Linked DNA regions of Alligator mississippiensis. The protein of the gene in region 1 binds, or shares a complex with, the protein of each later gene. Links are inferred from orthologs where the notes say so. Each region holds a gene or a part of one and is shown on either strand. Other genes may lie near its edges.

Region 1 (7,326 bases):
ACTGCCCAAAAGTGGGTGTACTACTCTGATGGAAGTCTCAACAGCAACGAAGAGAATGAAATAATTATCTTATGTCTTGCATATGGCCACATCTGTTCAGTCATCCCAGAATGCCGTCTGCATTGCTAAGTCACCGGGCTACTACACAGAAAGCATGCTTAAGACATACCGTCCATGCATAGTACCACTATTGCCTTAGAGAAATGTTTTGGCTCACCTCTGCCTCTAGCACAGCTCCAGATCCGGATGGTCTGATCTTTGCTTCCTGAAGCCAGGTAACAACCTTTTGCTACAGCTGCCTCCTGTGTTAGCTCCCCATTTGGAACCTCACCTGCTTTCAAGAGAAATATCAAATGGTGTTAAAACAATGGTAAAACACTTGGGAAATACAAAGCACAAATAAAAAGCAAAGATGATGAAGTTCAGCTATGCTGCCCAAAGAACAGATTTTTCTGTAAAGCAGACTGAGTTTATTTTAAATCAGACTGAATCCCAGACTGCCTCAGACTCCTATTTTTATTAATGAAACAAGGAACTGATTTGGTTACAAGGAATTACTCGGAGTCCCCTAATAGTTTGTGTGTACCTTGAAGCTCTTCTTGCCAACTATATAATCCTTCTTCATTGGGCACAGGACACCATGCCAAGGAGTGTATTTCATCATCATGACCTCTCAGGCGATGAACAATTTCTTTTTTCCTGCTGATGTCAATTATAACCACCATGCCATCCTTGTAACTAAAAACAAGCAGTTAGACAGTGATGAAAAAATGCTTAAGAGTCTCATAACAATGATACTGAACTGGCATATAGTGACTTTTGTTAGCAAAGTGCTTTGCCAAGAAGGTAAGCATCACTATCCCCATCTTACGCATGGAGAGAGACATGACCAAGGTCATCCATGAAGCTAGAGGCCAAGTTGGGAAGATCCCAGGTACATGGAGTTCCACAATGCTCTATGCACTAGGACATACTGCCTCTTGCATGCATGGGTCAGATCCTCAGCTGGTGTAAACTAACATACCTCCAGGAGTAATGCAACATACGAGACAATGATCCCCCAAGGATCAACACTACTGACCTTGGGGAACTTAAAAAGCAAGGGATCTTTTGTTCAGAAAGATTTAATTTCTTTTCCTAAAATTAATTTCATGCCCTCCCCTGTCCTGTGTTAGCTTTCCCTCCACATAATCTTGTCTTAGATTGCCAAGTATCCATCACAATGGATCCAGCATAAAGCAGGAACAGGTGCTGTGCATCAAGAGGGCTGGAACTGCAGTAGGCAGCAAAAGCCTCATGAAGCTATGGGGAGTGGCACAAAAAGAAAACCATACAAACCATCGGTTTGTGGAACTGTTTAGGTCAAAGCCACAGAGTCAGCAAACACAGTTATCTTGTTACCTCCAGCTCTGTTCCCAACACCCAGTCACTTACATGAGTTGTAGCCTGACAGTCAGCCCAGATTCACATACTGCTATAAACTTTCTAAGACCAGTGAGTCTGTGAGATCCGGCATTTCTGGGTTACTACAAGACTTCTCCATTATACAACAGAAAGCCGATAAGTAGGTTGTTCATTTAGGTTCTTCTTTTTCCCTCCTGCCACTCTAGCCAACGAGAACTAGCCAAATTCCTAAACCACCACCACCATTTCTGAAAGAATAGCCTTAAAATTATGCTGCAATGAAAACACACACACACCATCTACCTTGCAGCATAAGAAAAGGGAGCAACATAATTAACACTTACCCAATAGCTACCAGATTCTCCTGGTGAGGGGAACACGTGAGGCAGAAGATGGTCCTAGGCTCAGGGAAGAACTGTTGGCTGTCATTTCTGTTATGCCAATAACAAACGATGATGCCTCTCTCATCACCAGACACAACCAGATCTTTCACAAGGGGTGACCAATGCAAGGCTGAGATTGTATTCTGAAAATGCAGATTAACCAGGGCATGACAAAGTCTTGTCTCTAGCCCCATATTAGGCAGAGATGAACCGTGAAACAATACTAAATGAGGCAGCTAAAGTGGTAGGAGTTTTATCCTCGGTTAAGATAACTAAAGGCATTAATGTTTACATACGGAGCAAGATCGGGAAAGTCACTGCTGTAGCTGTCAAAGATCTGCCAGGAAATTAAGATTGCAAAGGGATCCACACACAATTGCTTACCAGGATGTCCTCCACACTAAATGTTTTTTCCCAAACCAACCAACCAACAAACAGAAAACCTTCACTGATTTAACTGACATGGATTTTAAAATTAGTTTAATGAAACTGGTGTAGATCCCTACATGGATCTTCTTATTTGGTCCCAGCATGTATTTCTGCCCCCTGTTTAGCTAATAAAAGCTTTGGGAAAACGCTTGTTCTAGTGGTTTTCCTACAGCCACACGGACCTGGTTATTGGCTACTATACCTGATGGAGCGTATGCTCAGTTACAAGAGACAGAGTCTGAGTATCCCAGATTTTCACGGTTCCATCATCTGAGCTGCTCGCGCAGAGGTTGGTCTGATCAGGGAAATGACAAAAGGTAAATCCAGAAACCCTTTCTGTATGACCGATGAGCTCTCCTAGGTTTGAAATACAAAAAGAGGAAACATTCACAGACCGAATTCTTGGTGAGAAACTGCTGTCCTTTCCCCATCTCTGAACGAGTACTCTTTCTACAAACTACCCGATACAAAAGATTCAATATTATGCATTGCAACATCCACTAACAAACAACTGGGGTAAAAGTGGCTGGAAGCAGGAGAATCACACACTCATCCCTGCATGTCCCACACTCCACAGAAAACAAAAGTGTGGACAAAATGAATAGGAAACAGTTATTCACCAACTCCCGGAATACTAAAATAAGGGGACAGCCACTGAAATGAGCAGGAGACAGGCAAAAAACTAATAAGAGAAAATGCTTTCTTATGCAGTGGACAGTTAATTAGTGGAACTCCCTGCCACAGGACATTGTAGAGGCAGATAGTTCAGCCAGGGTGAAAAGGGACAGGACAATTTCATGCATGAGATCCATTAATAGCTATGAAACAGAAAAGTCAGGGATGCCACCGTTGACACCCTTGAACCTTCCTTTTTCATGTGCTTCTCACAAGGTACTTGCTGAATTAACAGAGGATGGTGCATGCGAGGGAGGGTATAACAGGGTAGACCACTCTGGATCAGCGGTTCTCAGACCCCTTGTTAGGCTCAAAGACTCTGTTAGAAAATGCCAGCTCTTGGCTTTCATTTGCTTTTCGACTCCTGAAAAACAACGGGGCGATTCTTTTGTTCCAAGGAACCGCAGAAGCGCAGAGCAGGGCAGGACGCTTTTAACACGACGGATTCCCATCTGCCATCTCCGCGGTTAATCTGTGAATCGCAGCGCACAGCATCCTAGAGCCGTGGGGCTGCAAGGGAGCTCTAGGGGTCACATCTAGTCCAACCCCTGCTCGAGGCAGGATCGGCTCTATCCAAACCGTTCCCCACCTATCTAACCTCTTAGTGAAACTACCATCGACCCGGACACAACATGGACATCACACCTGAACCTGCCACAGGGAAAGCAGCCAACGTCCTGCTCCTATAAAAGGCTGTTAACACATGGTTAAAAGATCTCAGGTAAAGGCCGACTACAGGGGAAAGCAAAATCCTGCATAGTTCATACCAATCTGACTGGGGGGGGGGGGGGGGATTCCTCCCTGCCCCCAACGCAGCACTGGTCTGACACCGAGTGGAGGGAAAGGATCCGCTAGCCAGGACCCTCCGGGTCGAGTCCCAGCAGGAGCACGGCCACAGATCCCCAGCCTGGGCTGCGGCCAACACCGAGGGCGTGTCTACACATGCATTAGTCCGTCTTTCCTAATGCGCATTAAACTTAGAACCTCGGAGCGTTTATACACGTGCCCCCCACCGTCGGGGGGGGGGGGGGGGGGAAACGCTTTAATTAGAGGGGCTCTAAATAAAGCTCCCGGAGCATCTTGTGCATCAGCATCCCCTTTGGTTCAAAATGGCAGCGGGGACGCTGTATCTAAAGACGGCTGAACGAGCTTTAGCTCAAACGCCCACGTGCTAAATAAAGCACACGCACACGAGGCTGCCCGAACACGCGGTAGCAAAAACACTGCTTTTTTTTTGAGCCAGGCTCGATGCTGCGCGGCCTGTTTTGCTCCTCAGCGGCGCGTCGGCACGTCCCCTCACGCGACGCTTTAACGGGCACGTGTGTAAGACTGACGGCTTTAAAATGGTATTTAAAGGTTTGGGTTTTTTTTACGGTTACGGGTATAAACGCGCCCCTGGGGCCTCTGATGGAGGCTTAACACGTGGCGGGGGGGAAGCAGCGCCTGTTGCGGGGCAGGATGCTCCCTCGTGCTGCCCCGGGGCCGGGATCGCGGGGTTGGTACCGTGGAAGGCGGGCTGGGCGCCGACCCGCAGCAGGTAGACGCTGTTCCGGGCCGCGAAGCCGAAGAGCCGCGCGCCGGCGCTCGCGTCGCTGCAGCGGCTGAGGTACCAGTTGGGCGAGGCGGGCAGGAGCCGCTCCGCCGCCATCGCGTGCCCGCGGCTCTGCCGTTGCCCGGCGCTGCTGTCAAGGGTCGCAAAACGACCTTTGACCTCCCCGCCGTTGGTTCGGCGCATGCGCGGGTGCCACTCTGCGCATGCGCTGGGTTCCGCGCATGCGCGGTCAAAGCGAGGCGGCCACAATGGCGGCGGCCATGGCGGGTGAGTGAGGGGAGGTTGGGGAAGACGCTGGGTGGTGGTTTTGAGGCTCATGTAGGGTTGTGTTTCGTTTTTCTATTCGTGCAGGCCTCGCTTGGGCGCGGCGGATGCTCCTCGGGGCCTGGCCGGAGAGGTGAGTCTATCCCCGCTCCCCATCTTGTGTGCCCTCAGTGTGGGAGAGGGGAGCGGCTGCATTTCGATGTTGAAGCCGAATGCAAACTATGACACGTGAGTTACGAGGCAAGAAACGTGTTTAAAAAAACCTGCGGTGGAAATAGTGGCTTGGAAAAGGCTGTTGTCAAAGCAGGTGTGAAATATCTTGAATTCAATTGCTCTCTTAAAACCTGGTTTGAGGGAGATGGGACCGGCTGATGGCTTCTAACGTGCGTTTTCCCATTGCTTCAACAAAGCGAGTGTCCTTGGCCTGAATCTGGCCTTCAAGCAGAGGCGTGAATGGGTTTTTTTTTTTTTTTCCTATTTCAGTTTTAGGAATTGATGTAGTTTTATGGTGACTGATGTTGTTCTCATTTACAACTCTTTGCATAGATACTGGGTATTTCTAACCAAAATGTGATGTGACAGTAATTTGAATTTCTAACAGTTTTCTAGTATCCAGAAGTCTACATACTATTTGACTTAAGAGTATCGATTAAAACCTCTTTAAAGTTGACTCAGAAAAGTAATATGCCATGCAAGAAAAGAGTTGGCTTAAATGGTTTGCTCCTGGCTTCACTTATTGATTTCATTCACAAAAATCAACAGGTTTGGCTGCCCACTTATCACCTCAGTATTTGGCCAGCAGAGGGCATCATATATATATATATATATATATATATATATATATATATAGAGAGAGAGAGAGAGAGAGAGAGAGAGAGAGAGGTATATCTATATCTATCTATCTATAGATATCTATATCTCAAATAAACAGCTTTTGTCTTCTCCGGTTGGGGAATGTTTGAAAGTTGTAGAAATCTGGGATTTTTCTCTATCTACGCAACACCTTAGTCTTTCATTTCTTCTTGTTAATTATCAGATCAAAATTGGCTTAACCATTTAAAAGTAGTTGGGGGAGTAGCTTTCATTGTAAAGGAAACATACTTCTGTCTGTGACCCATAACTTAAAAAAATTAGGCTTTGTTTTATATTTTGCCATTGGCAAAGGTAAAAATCAGTACTGTAATCTGAAGTTAACGGTCAAATAACCAACAAGTGGGTAAGTATCAACCAACTTCAGACTTTGATAGGCTGGGGGTTCGTTTTTGTGAGGACCATTGTTATGTAACGAAAAACCAATGGATAAAGAGCCAGAAAATCGAGAATGGTGTGTAATAGCTATTCTGGGCCTGCGCTGTTCAGTTTCTTTATTAGTGACTTGGACAATGGGGTGAAAAGCAGCCTATTTAAATTTGCTGATGATACCAAGATTTGGGGTGGGCATGCTAGTAGCGAAGGACATGGGACATGTCCCCTAGGGAATGACCTGCTGGGTGGCACGGAAGTGGAAAGGGATCGTGGAGTCCTAGTGGACTCCAAGATGAACATGAGTCGGCAGTGTGACGAAGCCATCAGAAAAGCCAATGGCACTTTATCGTGCATCAGCAGATGCATGACGAACAGATCCAAGGAGGTGATACTTCCCCTCTATCGGGCGCTGGTCAGACCGCAGTTGGAGTACTGCGTGCAATTCTGGGCGCCGCACTTCAAGAGGGATATGGATAACCTGGAGAGGGTCCAGAGAAGGGCCACTCGTATGGTTAAGGGCCTGCAGACCAAGCCCTGCGAGGAGAGACTGGGGCACCTGGACCTCTTCAGCCCCTGCAAGAGAAGGTTGAGAGGCGACCTTGTGGCTGCCTATAAGTTCATCACGGGGGCACAGAAGGGAATTGGTGAGGTTTTATTCACCAAGGCGCCCCTCGGGTTACAAGAAATAATGGCCACAAGCTAGCAGAGAGCAGGTTTAGGTTGGACATTAGGAAGAACTTCTTCACAGTTGGAGTGGCCAAGGTCTGGAACGGGCTCCCAAGGGAGATGGTGCTCTCCCCTACCCTGGGGGTCTTCAAGAGGAGATTGGATATGCATCTAGCTGGGGTCATCTAGACCCAGCACTCTTTCCTGCCTATGCAGGGGGTCGGACTCGATGATCTATTGAGGACCCTTCCGACCCTAACATCTATGAATCTATGACAGATTACAGCAGGACCTGGATAGGTTACAGGGGTGGGCTAACGAAAATAGGATGGGTTTCAATACAGACAAGTGCAGGGTGCTGCACTTGGCCAGTGGGAACCAGCAGCACACTTTTATAAGCTTGGAAACTCCGTTCTCGAGAGCACGGTGGCAGAAAGAGATCTTGGAGTCATTATTGACTCCAAGGTGAACATGGGCCGACAATGCGAGGTCTCGATCAGTAGGGCTAACCTCACCTTGTTGAGCATCCACAGATGCATCTTGAGCAGGTCCAAGGAGATGATCCTCCCCCTCTGTGACACTGGTCAGGCCGCAGTTGGAGTACTGCGTCCAGTTCTGGGCGCCGCACTTCAGGAGGGATGTGGACAGCATGGAGAGGTCCAGAGGAGGGCCACCTGCGTGATCCGGGGACAGCAGGGCAGACCCTAC
Region 2 (7,326 bases), on another chromosome or scaffold:
CACAATTTTGTTGTATTTCTATACACCAAATGTAACTGCCAACTGAAGGTACAAATAAAATATACCTTCAGCTGGCAGTTACATTTAGTGTATAGAAATACAACAAACCTGTGGAAAAGTTACCATATTTACTGGAGTCTGCAGTGACTCTGAATGTAATTGGTTATAATTTTCCAAGTATAGGATCTAATTATTGGAGATTCATCTTTCATTCATCCCCCCACTGCTGTAGGGGAGCAGGCAGGAGGAGGGCATGTAGTATGGGAAGGTCAAGAAACTTGTCCTCTACCATCTCTGCCTCCTGCCTGCCTCTGCCAGCCTTTGCTCCCTACTTCCCCTCCAGCCTCTGCTCCAGGCCAGCAGGCTCCGTCCCCATTCTAGCCTGAGGCATTGAGCACAACCACAGTCTGGTCCTGTAAGACCAGCCATGCTGGTAATGTGCCACTTCTATGTGACCAGGAAGGGGCTGTGCTCAGTGCCCCAGGCTACAGCATGCACAAAGCACGAATAAGGGGGGCACTCACTGCTGGGGGTACCAGACACAGTGGACAGACAGGGTCTCCATGGAGACTGGACTGGGAGCCCCAGACAGGGTGCACTAGGCCGGGCAGATGGAATGGGACTGCAGGGTGGTGACAGCACAGGGCCGGGTCCTGGGGCAGAGCCGCAATCTGCTCTCGACATCATGGCTCTGCCCAGGCCTCAGCCCTGTGCTGTTACTGCCCTGCAATCCTGGCCCCACCCACCCATCCTAGCTTTAGACACTGCTTCTTGCACGCCCACAGCCCCATTCCATCCGCCCAGCCTAGTGTGTCCTGTCCATGGAGGTCCCAGGCCAGTGTCTATGGAAACCCCACCTGCCCCAGCACCCCCAAATGATAGGTGCGGGGTAGATGGACCAGGATGCCCAGGCAGCAGGGCTGGATCCAGTGGCAGTGGCAACATTGGCAGTAGCAGCCAGAAAGAGCAGCCACCAACAAGGATGCCAGGAAACAGTCTGGCTGCCACGCTGCCCCAGCCCCACTGTGTGCCTGGGGACGATGGGACCATCCACACGCACCAAAGCCTAGGCTGCCACCTGCACCTCAGCCAGATGGGTCTGAGTGACCCGCCACGACCTGGATAAAATGCTTGGTGGACCAGATCCAGCCTATGGGTTGTATTCTGGCCACGCCTGGGCTGAAGTCTTAGCTTCTGTAGCTGCCTGCTCTCTGTCCTTGTATTCACTTCTAAGACAAGGGGATTCCCTCTATATGAAGTGGGGGGAACCCTCATATTAGAATGAAGAAAATATGGTATACATTAGAACAACTGAGTTTTACAGAGACTGTAGTTTTTCCACCAATTCAGAATTTGGACTGCAGGGCTGGAGATTCCATTTACTTGTCCAAATTCTTTTAAGATATAGGGACAGTATATTTTAAAATTTACTTGAGACTTCCAGGTATTTTAATACAAATATTTTTCTATCCTAGAATTCTCATTTCATTTATTTTAGTCTGTGTTTTCTATAAGTCTCTTAAGAACATATCTCTACAAACTTACTGAAATATTCACGGTCTGCTTCTTTCTCAGCTTTTTGGGGTCTATCTGTGCCACAACAACATCTGGGCATTGTGAAGCTTCAATCCTAAAAAGAAAAAAACGCCACACATTTGTAATCCCTCTCTGCTGCATTCCTTAGAATTACATAATTAGTTTGCAAATAGTTGTAATATTTGCATAGGGACCAGATCAAAATATGAGGCACTTGCACAATTAAGTTGTGTATGAGAATGTATTAAAAAATGAAAAGAAGAGAGAATGCTTCTAGGAGAGGGTATGCAGCAAGGTTTTAACAGAAACAAACAAACGGAATAGAAACAAATGCAGGCATCTTTTAAGCTTGCTATTTAGGCCACAGTAGGTATATACCCTCATTTTATAGAGAGAAAATGAGAGCAGAGGTTAATTTGTTTTAAATGAGCCAAGCTGTGGCAGTCAGCAGAATCCCAAATCCCCAACTCCAGGAGTTCTCTGCCTTAGCCACAGGACCACCTTTCCTTTGGAGGCAGCAGTGAAGGCTATTACCTATTGACATATACAGCTAGTAAGATTGCATTTTAATCCTTCTGATTAAAGTAAACTGGATAAAGACTCCAAATGCTCCCATGTTACTCAAGAGGAGGTTAGATGAGTATCTAGCTGGGGTTGTCTAGACCCAGCGCTCTTTCCTGCTTATGCAGGGGGTCTGACTCGATGATCTATTGAGGTCCCTTCTGACCCCAACATCTATGAATTCCAACATAATACTGTGGGGGTGGAAAACAGATCATGATGTGCAGCATGGGGTCAAAGAGTCCTAAGAGAAACTACCCTGATACACAGATGAACATGGCTGAGTCATGTTGGGGGGGGGGGGGGGGGAAGAGGGGCGGATTGTGTGTCGGAGTGTGCAAGCAAGTTTCTATTTAAGTTGGTGTTAACAAAAAATGTCAAGATCTTAAACAAGGAAAGAGCAGTTACATTCACTGGCACCAAACTCAGCAGTTATTGGCACTACAGTGGCACTTGGGGGCTCCAGAGGAGAGTGAGCAGGGTGAGATGGTGCTGCCCAGACATGCAGCCCAGAGCATCTCCCTCTCAGAAGATTTGCGGCAAAGACCCCAGTGGGTCCTACAGTATGCAGTGCACTAGCTCCTGCATCCCGCAGGGCACTGACACGAGGCTAGGCGGTGCAGCAGCACCGGGGCAAGGCAAAGGGCTCCCGGTGGTCAAGCCGGTGCTTCAGTCTCCCATGGGGTCCCTCCGAGCCAGCCCAGCTGCAGAGCTCGGGGGAGCTGCTTCCCGCGGAGGCGGGCGGCGCTAGAACGTGCAGTGGGACGGGCGGTCCCAGCCCCGGCCCCGTCTCCGTCCGCTCCGCTCGCCCCAGAGCGGGGGGCGGCTCCTGCTCCCCGCTCCCACTTACTGCACCCGCTTGAGATACTCCTGCGGCGTCCGCGGGGGCGCGGTGGGATCGAAGTCCTCGGCGAGCTCGCAGTCCCATACTGGCAGCAGCCGCGGCATCAACTCCTCCATCCCTGCCTCCATGCCCGCCAGGACGGGCGCGCTCAATGATGTCATCCACCCGCAACTCACCGAACAATAGCAAACACCACCCCTAGCCACCAGCGGCGGGCGCGCTCGGTGACGTCACTCAGTCGCGACTCGCAAAGTGAAGATAACGTATAGGTGTGTACGCCCCGCCCCGCCCCCTGGGCTCTGCCTCGAAGGTGGTGACGCCCCTTGGCGGGGGAAGGGGCGGTGCTTGGGGCTAGAGCTGCAGCGCCCGCCGCGGCCGTTCTGGGGACTTACTGGCGATCTCCCCCGGCCGGGCCGCGGGGGAGGTGCTGCTGCTTGTTGCCCACCACCGGCCCGCGCCTTCTGTCGTGCAGGGGGCTGTGGGCAGGGCAGCCTGGCGTGCCGGGGTCTTCCCGCAACGCGGCTGTCGCGCGAGCTCGGGGCCCTGCGCCCTGCAGCGCAGGAGCGCGGAGGGAGGGGAGCTCAGTCAGGGCTCTCCGGTCGGCCTCCCACGCGCTGCGTGGGCACACTGGCCCCAGAAACATGACACTATCTAGTCGCAGCGGGACTCTGCCTGGGAGGAGGATTACTAGAGGTGAACGATGGTGCAGTCAGCTCCTGAGTGATTTAAAAATACCACATATCTTTTATTAGGTCAACGTGAATGGAAACATTCTTCTTTACAAGCTTTCGAGTACAAATACCCTTTGTCAGGCAGAGGAAGTGTCTGCCTGAAGTGTACCTGAAAGCTTGCAAAGAAGAATTTTTCCAACTATTTGAGTTGCTCTAATAAAATACCACAGCACCTCATTAAACTTCCCAGTAGTTACACCAACTCATATGTGCTCATTTGAATGATAAAAGTCAGATGTTACTAGAAGAGCAGAACCTGCAGGGTTCTGGTGAAGTGGGATGGATTCTTTCCCTGCTAATCTGTTACCACTTGGTTCCATGTGAGGACTCACCTATAATTGCAGGGACCTCTCTGAAGTTAAAGAGGACTCTGTGCAGAGTTGTCCATTGGGGTCTGGAGTTACCCCATTTCACAGATTGGAAACTGCAGCACTGAGATGCTGTTGAGTGGAGTGGGGACTTGAAAGTAGGTCTCCCAGTCCTTAAGGTAGCTCCAAGTTACTGGACCACCTATCCTTTCTGACACTTTACCCCTGTTCTGTACAGATCTACCCAGTCAGTTTGCTACTAGGATGAATAGTAATGAATGACAGAAAGTCAGCTAAAATATTTACTAAAGAAATCATTCTTATTTCATCTTTTCATCATCTTTGGGGCTTCCATAATGAAAGTTGGATTGTGGTTGAGGATGGATAGGAGGAAGCTCTTAAATCATCATGGTCTCTACAATGCTCAATGCAGCTTCTTGAAATGGTAGCCTTTGTTCTAGACAAAGAAATATTAAACACCATTGTGCACAAGCAGTTGTGTGATATTAATCTATAACTACCAAATAATGAAATCTTCAACAAGCCACTGAGTCTTTAATAACAATTCTAGGGACCTGTGCATAAAGCTCAGCATTAGCAAGTGGTTCTTTCAGGTCTAGTACTTAAGAACAAAATCCTGCTCCATTTCAGTCAACAGAAGTTTTCCATAAGTAAATGTACTGTGTTCATAATTTGTCCCATTTGGGAGTTCCCTTTGGCTTCTGTAAAAGTAGACAGAGAGCGTGTCTGTCTACATGTGCATTAATACACTTTTTCTAATGCGCATTAAATTTAGTACCTCCAATGTAAGGTACTAAATGTGCATTAGGCTGCCTTAATGTGCAGTAGCACAAGCTCATGTTTTTAGGTGCCACTTAATGCACAGTAGCTTATTTTACTGTGTATTAGCATAATAGCGCTGTTTTTTATACACTGCTTTAACGCACGGTAAAATAGGCTACTGTGCATTAAAATACATGTGTAGACATGCCCAGATAAATGTAATTATGAGTTTGATGTGAATTGGACTTTTGTATAGATAGATTACACTGTCAGTTTGGGGTATACCTCAGAAAAATAACTATCAAGGACTTCAAAATCAGTTATTTTATTTCTTTTTCATCTCACTTCTATGTATTTCCTTATTTCACCTGAAAGAGGATACATACAAACTCTCTTAATGAAAAGCAAATAACTCTTTTAAGAAAAATGTTAACTATTATATAGAATATGAAATATTCCCTACCCATCATATAACATGGGGATAATAATACTTGTTTCCTGTATAAAGCACTGAGTGATGGATAAAAATATACAAGAACATGGTGCTTGATTCAGTCGGTGGTACAGATATCCTATTGACTTCATCCCAAAAGGCCAGTGCATGGATATTAAATTTGATTGCATATTCTGTAGTTATACAGGCTTAATTAGATCCTATATGAAAAGCACCAGTAATGCCAGGCCAAAGTCTAACTGAAAGTCCCCACCAGTGTAAATCTGTAGGCAGTGTAGTTTAAACTGTTATTTATTAAGTTGCTAACTCAGAAGTCACTGCTAACACATATTCTTTGTGTTTTCTTTCTACAATAATTTTGATATAGACTGAGCTGTGCTGTGCTATCCACAATCTGGATGTTCTGCATGCATGGTAAAGATCAAGGGGTAACCCAAACCACTAGACTAGCCTCTTATCTCCATTTTTTAAAGTAGTATTGGTTATTTCTGAAGGACTATATTTTCTGAGCAGTTTTGAGCAAACACTACCCTAGAACTTTCCTCTCCATTTAATTTTTATTTGCTTTTAAGGTGTTTCCTGAAACCGTTTATGTGTAACAATCTGCTTTCTTCTGGAACCGGATGTAACTTCCTATTTCTGTGTGCAAAAAGTGTGGTCGTCATCACTTGAAAGAAGACCTGCTTAATTAAAACTACAATTGCATTTCTGCAGAATTTGACATGGTAGCCAAGAAAAGCCTGAACTCTATCAATCTGTAAATGGATATACTGAAAATATTCAGATGTTAGGAATTATAAATGTATATGTTCTGAAGAAAGGAATTATAAAAAAGAAAACAAAAACCAAATGCAGCATTATGATACAATTGTAAATATAAATTACGTTAAAATGATTTTTTTATTTTGATTTTTAAAGTTGAATGACATACATTCAATTAGCCACTTTTAAACTGTTGCAAGCAACAAAAGTGGTTTTCTAAAGATATCAAGATCACTGCTGACAAGACTTAATAATATAGTTCATTGAACATCTGGTGGAGCTAAACATGATTCAGCAGGTGAAGAAGAGAAAACTGTCAAAGATGAAAACTCTATCTTTTTATCAACTGCCTAGGAAACATAAAGGAGAAATTTCCCAATGGGAAGGTAAGTTGCAACCTGGGAATATTTGCCAAAAACTTTAAATGTAATATATACATCTAACATGGAAATAAGTGAAGTGTAACTGCATATTGAATACAAGGGGTAACAGAAAGATGTCATTATCTTAGTAGTACTCCCTGTTTAGAACCCAGATCTCCATTTTATTTTTCTACCTATCCATTCATCTTAGTACTTTTGCTTCTCTGCGTGTTCTCTATCATTATATTATCTGTGACACCTTCTCGGAAGGAAGTTTAAGATGCAAGTAATGCAGGATTTTGTCCGTATCAAAATGAAATCTAGTTTTTTTAATCATGTTAATAACGAAATGATTTTACACCTGTTATCCTCACTGGGATTTCACAATGGTACTCTCCTGGTTTTTTCCTTCCTCTCTTTCTATTATTATCTCATTTGTCTCCTTTTGCATGCCATCTACAGGCATGCCCAGAGTTACATCTCTTTCTGCTTTACACCCTTTCTTGGACAATCACTATAGTACTTGAGCATTCTCAGAACCTGCAGTACTGAGGGAGTCTTTCACTTGCTGAAACATCATTTATCAAGCAGATATTAGTCATCCCACAGCTGTGTGTATAGTTTGTCCTCTGTACAGGATATAACCAAATAATAGGGAGATAACATTTGGGGTTCCATTCTGTGTTGCAGGATAAGGAGCCCAGATATTCTTTATAACCCACAGCTCAATATCCCTTCCACCTGATGATGGCATTAGAATGGGTGGCACAGTCCTTCCATTTGGGTATGTCCTGTTTTTGGTTCAGATGAGAAATGATTGGTTGCGTAGAAATATGACTGTAAGTACAGCTGAAGTACCATAAATGGGTGTAAAAATGTTTTGGCCACTAATAGTTGATTAATGCAATTGTTCATTATTACCTGGCGTACATTTTCAAACTTTCAGAGACAATGTACATGACAATGGTCGTTTTTTGCCTTCCCA
Region 3 (7,326 bases), on another chromosome or scaffold:
ATGAGAGCCATGACTAACACTGAGGGGTGTTGGACTGTCCACCGCCTCATTCATCCCTGCATGTTCATCAGGATTGCTCCTAAATGAAGAATGCAAAGGAAGCAGATCAGGCGCAAGTTTGAGTGCTTGAAGGACCCACTCAAGCACAGGCAACTCCTGAATGAGACACTACAAACAGAGCACCCAGAAGGAGTTGAGGAGCACTGGATGGGACTCAAGGCCGGTTCTCTCATTCTGTGAAAATATTATAGGATACAAGACCAGGAAACATCAAGACTGGTTTTGATGAAAACGACACTGAAATTCAAGGTCTCATCGACAAGAAAAATGCACATTGACAAGCAAAATCAGAGGTGCAGAGGAGAACATGAGAACTGAAGAATGAGTGGTGGATTCAGAAATCAAAAGAAATCCAACATTTTGCTGACATCCATGACATTCACGGCTTCTTCACTGCTACCAAAGCTGTCTATGGCCCTAGCACTCAAGGCTTTAATCCTCTAAGATCAAAGGATGGAACAACACTCCTGAAGGACAGCAAATCCATCAATGCTCACTGGAAAGAACATTTCCAGGACCTTCTGAATCATGACTCAACTGTCGATGAAGATAAGATCACCAACTTTCCACAAAAAACAATCAGAGAAGACCTTGGTTTGCTGCCTACCCTGGCAAAGGTCAGGAGTTCTATCAGGAAAATGAAGAATAACAAGGCAGCTGGTGCTGATGGAATACCTGCAGAGATTTTCAAAGGAGGAGGAAAACAACTTACATGTCAGCTTCATGTCCTCATCCTTAAAATCTGGAATGAGGAAGAAATCCCAGCCGACCTAAGGGATGCCTTGATTGTTACTATGGGACAGAGCTGATTGCGGAAACTATCGAGGCATCTCACTGTTGGCTACTGCTGGGGAAGTCATCGTCCATATCTTCACTAACTGCCTTCTCCCACTTGCGGAAGAAATCCTTCTAGAATCTCAAAGTGGCTTCAGACTATTGTGAGGATCTGCGGACATGATCTTTACAGCTAGTCAAACCCAGGAGAAGTGTCGTGAGCAAACCAAAAGTGGTTTGTAAATTCCCTTTGAGGATCAGGCCTGAGAGACTGGAGACATGTAGTTGGGTGTTCTTGTCTTTGATAGATTTTTGGTGTGCACTCATTCTGATGTACAGACTTGGTGTCTCCTACGTACTTTCCATCAGGCCTGATGGAGATATGTATTGTGAAGATATCTCCATTATGGAGATATTGTTGACAGGTGTTACATGTCTTATCATGGCATGTCTGGATCCATTCAGTGTGTTTTGGGCTGTAGGAAGCTGGCTTCTGGTGATGAGGTTAGTGAGGTTCAGTGCTTGTTTGAATTTACAACCCACTTTTCACAGATGAGCCTATGAATTGCACTTCATCAACCTCCTGGGTACAGAAACTCATGGACTCAATATAGACAGTGGAATTTTGACACACTACAACCTGACTGACATCTGACTCCCCAGGTACCTCTCCATTTTTACCTGCTACATCCTCCTTCCACCCCCCCATCCCAGCCTTTCCCTCACCCCCTGATGCTTCCATTTCCATTTTCACTGACTGGCTCTCTTGCCTGCATTGCATGCCAGCCTCTGGCTTCTTTACTATTCCTTCTATCCAGGAAGAGCACACACACCAACCGCAGGTGTTTCTTCAGCCTGATGAAGGGTTTTTTAACCTGAAAGCTTGCTAAGATATATTTCTCCAAATATTCAGTCGGTCTACTAAAAGATACCAGATTGACCCAAAGAACCGTGTCTGCCAGTGCCATGTCTTTAGACCAACCCCCTTAGCACCTGTCCCTGGTTAGCTGACCAGGAGGCAGGGCCCTGGGCACATCTAAGCCCCAGGGCTAGGGCTGGCAGGGAGAGTGCTCTGGCATCTGCGGGAGAAGAAGCTCCTGCAGGAGAAGAAAGAAATGCTCTGTCGCAGTTTGGCTGCCTGAGATGCTAGTGCTACTGTGTTGCTTACTTACCTGTTGTTATTTAAAGTGGTGGACCGAAATGAGGCTGTAGGGGAGGAAGAGACTTCATTGGGGCACACTACCATGTCATGTAGGATGACACCAGCACCAGCACCAGTGAGGGCGCACCTTAACACACACACCAAGTGACACATCACAAGTTTGCCTGAGGTGCAGTTTCCCAGAAACCCCTACACCTGTCTCCTTGAAACCTGGCAGGCTTCATGGTCTCATAAGGGGCTACCATCCCTGAGGTTTTCACCCCCCGCCCTTCAGTTACAAGTGACACAAATTTTGCTCTGAACAGTTTGAGGTGCAGTTTCCCCCAAACCCCTGCACTTATCTCCTTGAAACTTGACATGCTTTGTGGCCTCAGCAGGGGCTATGTGCTGTGCTGTCTTCATTCAAATTAGGCGAAAAATGATACTTATAGGAATTTTTTGTGAGTCCCCATTATAGCCGACGGGCGAAACGTTGAAGTGCGTCAGCGTTGAACAGTGAAACAGTTTTGACAAAATGAAACAGAACCGCGCTTGAAAGGAAACGTCTAAATGAAACACTGTCCCTTTGAAAAGGCGAAACGAAACTGAAACAAAAAGGTGCTGTTTTGCACAGCCCTAATAGACGCCCACCAGAAGTGGTGCAAGCACCTACTCCGGATAGCTTTGAGAAATGCCTGGACGCCTATCTTACAGGGGTCACCTGACCCCAACTGACTTCCTGCCCCTGGGGCAGGGGGCTGGACCCGATGATCCGGCAAGGTTCCTTCCAGCCCTAATGTCTATGAAATCTAGGTAAAAGTGCCCAGTCTGCCGGGGGAGGTCGGCGGACCACAGGCTAAAAAGAGAGAGCGTGAAGGGAGGGCGCCTGTTTCTCAGCCTGGTTAGATTCATGGCGCCCCTCCCTCAGAAAATGCCAGGTTGCGTTCAGGGGTGTGTGTTGTAGCCACGCTAGTCTAAGGACACAGGCAGACAAGGCTCTCTGGGTAAATGTGGTCTCTTCATTTTAGTTGGCCAGATTTACCCAACGAATCGTCGGTTTATTTTCACGTTTTGACAGAAAAGCAGCAGAGGTGGGCGGGCGGCCGCCTGCGGCACAGGTTTCAGAACAGCATGGCCTGCAGGCTGCAGCTTCGGAGCCCTGTTTGCAAGTCGAACAGCGTCCAACTACGGCCGCGTCAGCCCCCGCCCCAGGGGAGGGGCTAGTGCGCGAGGCCCCGCCCACTATCGAGCCCTTGTCTCGGGCAGGGAAACGCGGGTAGGGTAGGAGGGAGCGGTCACGTGACGGAAGTTGAGTCGTCACGTGGAGCGGGGTTGGGGAGTCCGCATTTTCCGGTCTCCCCTACAGAGACGCACTTCCGCCGGCGGCGACTTCCTCTTTGTCACTTCCGCCACCTCCCCGTTTCCTGCCCGGCAGTGGGGGGCTGACGACGCGTGGCCTGTCCTTGCGAGCGCGCGCGGTCTCCCCTTCCCGCCGCCGCCCGCTCTCCCGCTCGCCGCCGCCATGGCGATGCGGCAGACCCCACTGACGTGTTCGGGCCACACGCGGCCCGTGGTGGACTTGGCCTTCAGCGGAATCACCCCCTACGGCTACTTCCTCATCAGCGCCTGCAAAGGTGAGGGCTGGAGGCGGGGGCGGTGTTCTTCCGGGCCTGGGGGGGCGCGGCTTGTCTCGTCCTTCCCTCCCCGCTCGCGACCAGGCCGCGGGGCGGGGGGGGGGGGGGGGTGGTGTCTCCTTTCTCCTTTCTTCCTTCTCCCCGTGTCCTGTACGAGGCATGGGTAGGGGGTCAGGGTCAACATGGTGGAGGGAAGGCCAGGCCGTAGCTGCCCCATTGGTTAGGGCAATGGGAGGACGTGGGCGGCTGCTTTCCACTTGGGCCCCAGAGGCCCAGGTCCTGCTTGTGAGGAAAGTTCTGTTTCTGTTCTGGATTTGGATCTGATGGGAGGACTGCAGAGGTGCCTGCCCCACCCGTGCCTGCCTTCAGAATAAAGTGTCTGTGGCTTGACACCACTGCCGGGATTGCAGTGCATTCATTGCAGCAAATGGCCTCTTGTCCCTGATTTTTCCCTGGGTACATCTTTCTTCTGTATCTTTTTAGGATACTATCTTTTGCACATACCCATTGCCTTGACCAAATAATTGTCTTCCTTAAGAGGACCCTCTATGTCAGTGGTCACCAACCAGTGGATCTCAATCCACTGGTTGATCTTGGAGGCTTTTGGAGCCAATCCGAGGCGGGGGGGGGGGGGGGGGGGCTGAGTGCCTGTGTGCATGCATGTGCGTGCCCTAGCCCAGCAGGTCAATCCATGGGGGAGGGAAGGGGTGGGAGCTAGATTGAGGCCCCTGAAGTGAGGGACAGTGCCGCAGAGGCAGGAGCAGCAGTAAGTTGAGTGTAGTGGGTGAGTTCTTTAGATCTGTTAGTCATTGTTAAGTACATGTATTTTATCTGATTGTTAATCTTTCTTTTTCCCAAGATGGCAAACCTATGCTACGCCAAGGTGACACAGGAGACTGGATTGGAACATTTATGGGTCATAAAGGTGCCGTATGGGGTGCCACTTTGAACAAGGATGCCACTAAAGCAGCTACAGCAGCTGCAGATTTTACTGCGTAAGTAATTAACCATGTCTAAAATTTGACTGTATTATGATTTCAGTTTGCAATCCTAGAATTTTGTAATTTTTTTAAAATGCAGTTTCTGCATTAAATATATTTGCCTTTCTTACACACCTGGCCGATTTACAGAGACTTGTATTAAAAATTATAGAAAGTGAGGTTGTTGATATTTGTGGTAATACAGTAATGGTAGTTAAACTGTAGAGATGGCTTAACGGATTACTTTTATGGACATAGACTAATAACATAATTGTCTACCAACAACAATTTTAGATAGCCTCTAATCTTTTGTGTTGCAGTTATATCGGATGCTAAAGTCTTCTAGAAGTATGGGGGGTTTTTTGTTCTTTTAACTGCCATTTCTCACTTTTTTCCCATTTGACTTCTTCTGGTACCTACTTTTTTCCCATTTGACTTCTTCTGGTACCTACTGTCACTTAATTTTTCTCAAGTTAAATTATTTTCTTGTAAACTTGCTAAATATTTACATGCATGCTTAATGTTTTTGTATACACAATTTTCTTAACTTTGTTCAGACTACTCAGAGTATGTGTATAATAGTTCATAAGAATGTGAGTGCAGATCATGTACAAGTGATTCATAATTTTAGGCAGACATTTTTCAAACCTACTACTAAAGGGAGAAGGGCTGTTTATTTTGGAGTGGTACAAAGGAATTAAAGAAATGGAAATTCTAAGGCAGACAAGGTTCTTTGAGTGAATTTGATATGTTTTATTAGACCAGCTTAAATAGTTGGAAAACAATTATTAAGCAAGCTTTCAGGTTCAAAAACCCTTTGTCTGGATAAGGAAGTTTCAGCAGTTGGTGTGTACACTTCCTTGTCTGCCTATGTCCTTAGACCAACACGGCTACAACCTACACCCCTGGAAATTCTGATGTATTTGTTCTTAAACACTAAGCATTTCTACTGTTGGGCTTTACGTGTTGCCAGAGTGTAGTAGTTATGTATAACCACTACATTATGTTCTCAGGAAAATCTTGCTGCAACCTGAATAGTTAGTTTAGTTGCAATGCACTTAGTAGTAACTATACAACTGTATTTGTACTGTCTTTCAGCAAAGTATGGGATGCTGTTTCAGGAGATGAACTAATGACATTAGCTCACAAGCACATTGTGAAATGTGTGGATTTTACTGAGGTACTGTTCTCTTCCCTTTCAAACCCCCACTTTTTCCCCTAGGGAGTGAAACTCTTGGATATGGTTAATTACTGCGGCCCTTGTTTCCTTATGCTTATTTTCAATGGAAGGTTCATGTTAACTGCTCTGTGTTTCGAAGGGATAAATTAAATATAACATATGCTGTAGTAGATTGCCTGCAAAATCATCCTGAGTTTTAACTGTAACCCACATTTTCAGTTGAGAAACCTAACTCTAGTTTTCTGCTATTTTAGGACAGTAATTATCTGTTGACTGGTGGACAAGATAAATTGTTGCGTATTTATGACTTGAGCAAGCCAGAAGCAGGTAAGTCTGCTTTTTAAATCTTCCCACTTAAAGTTCTTTTTTTTTAATTGTTATACAACTGGCTTTGAAAATGATCAGATCTGCTGAATTTCATAAATTACAAATATTGGGAGTCTTGTTTTTCCCAGTTAGTCATGGAATTGAGACAAATTCCTATAATAATAGGACATGCTGGAAATCTCTAGCAGCCTTCGGGTTTCACTGCTCTTAAATCCTATGCTCTTTTCAATATTAGTTTGATTTGAAGGGTTTTATTTTAGTTGTCAAAACTTCTGAAATTATCTATTCCAGGTATTTGCTTGGCTTCTGTTTACATCTTGCAGTTATGTGTTTGGTAACTGTTACATTGATTATCATAAGGTACTTTTGAATTGCCCACAGTATTTTTAGATTACATTGGCCTTGTCACTCTGCGCAGTAAAGTTGCACTGGTTCAACTTAAGGTTTTTCAGTAGCTCAAACCTGTGTCCACTCTTTCTGTTCAAGGGGCTCTAATTTCAGTTTTAATTACACGTGTTCATAGTGGACTTGAGCTAAATCAAATAAGTTGCTCTTAACACAAAAGCAAATGTCCATGCATAGTTTATACAAATCTAACTAATTCTGTTACTGAACCTAAACCAGTGCAATTTCTCTAAGGGTATAGGAATAGCCTTAACGTTTAAAATGCTTCAAAGTGCAGCTGCAACTACATGGAGGGAGTGCGAATGGAGCTGAAGTCAATGAAGGCTGTCCTATCCACCTCACACTTGCTCTCCTGGAGTGCTTCCCAATTCTGCTGCCCCACCAGAGGTGGGGAAGGAGTGCAGTTATGGGGCTGGAGAGTAAGAATCCTGGCTCTGGTGCAGAGCGCTCACAAAAGCGCTCACTGACACAATCCTGATCTCCCCCCTGCCCTTCCTGTGGGAATGTGGGAGTAAGGGGACAATCACTGCTGGAGGAACCAGGGGGTTTCTTGTCATATTTTCTAGACCGTGTATATGTAACAGGAATAATTTAATTTTTAAGTGCTCCTAAATAGTTCTTGCTTCCCTCAGGGTTATATTTGGAGGCTTCCAAAGGATGTGTATATCTATTTATACCGTAAGTTTAAAAAAAAAAAAAAAAAAAGAAAACTCTAGTTTTCTCTCACCCTTACATATTAAATTCAGGATAAAAATTCCAAATACTGTGACAGTATCTTTCATCTTTACTCTCAAGGCTGGTTGTTGATTTATTTTTTTTTTTTTC

The links.
Region 2: GEMIN5 (region 1) and GEMIN2 share a complex: the UniProt entries of both Homo sapiens proteins name them as parts of the SMN-Sm complex. The link is inferred for Alligator mississippiensis from reciprocal best matches to the Homo sapiens genes GEMIN5 and GEMIN2.
Region 3: GEMIN5 (region 1) and STRAP share a complex: the UniProt entries of both Homo sapiens proteins name them as parts of the SMN-Sm complex. The link is inferred for Alligator mississippiensis from reciprocal best matches to the Homo sapiens genes GEMIN5 and STRAP.

The regions. Positions count from the first base shown.
Region 1 is NC_081832.1:77,079,394-77,086,719, forward strand, and holds the start of GEMIN5 (gem-associated protein 5), read right to left. Parts: upstream 4,576-7,326; 5' UTR 4,540-4,575; coding exon 4,395-4,539; intron 2,574-4,394; coding exon 2,419-2,573; intron 1,931-2,418; coding exon 1,749-1,930; intron 739-1,748; coding exon 587-738; intron 335-586; coding exon 218-334; intron 1-217. Other genes in the region: MRPL22 (large ribosomal subunit protein uL22m), read left to right, coding at 4,665-4,710, 4,795-4,840. UniProt on the Homo sapiens protein: The SMN complex catalyzes the assembly of small nuclear ribonucleoproteins (snRNPs), the building blocks of the spliceosome, and thereby plays an important role in the splicing of cellular pre-mRNAs.
Region 2 is NC_081825.1:260,111,845-260,119,170, reverse strand, and holds the start of GEMIN2 (gem-associated protein 2), read right to left. Parts: upstream 3,600-7,326; 5' UTR 3,585-3,599; coding exon 3,334-3,584; intron 3,156-3,333; exon of another isoform or gene 3,103-3,155; coding exon of another isoform or gene 2,948-3,102; intron 1,631-2,947; coding exon 1,546-1,630; intron 1-1,545. UniProt on the Homo sapiens protein: The SMN complex catalyzes the assembly of small nuclear ribonucleoproteins (snRNPs), the building blocks of the spliceosome, and thereby plays an important role in the splicing of cellular pre-mRNAs.
Region 3 is NC_081827.1:120,441,363-120,448,688, forward strand, and holds the start of STRAP (serine-threonine kinase receptor-associated protein), read left to right. Parts: upstream 1-3,364; 5' UTR 3,365-3,497; coding exon 3,498-3,609; intron 3,610-4,468; coding exon 4,469-4,604; intron 4,605-5,687; coding exon 5,688-5,769; intron 5,770-6,023; coding exon 6,024-6,096; intron 6,097-7,326. UniProt on the Homo sapiens protein: The SMN complex catalyzes the assembly of small nuclear ribonucleoproteins (snRNPs), the building blocks of the spliceosome, and thereby plays an important role in the splicing of cellular pre-mRNAs.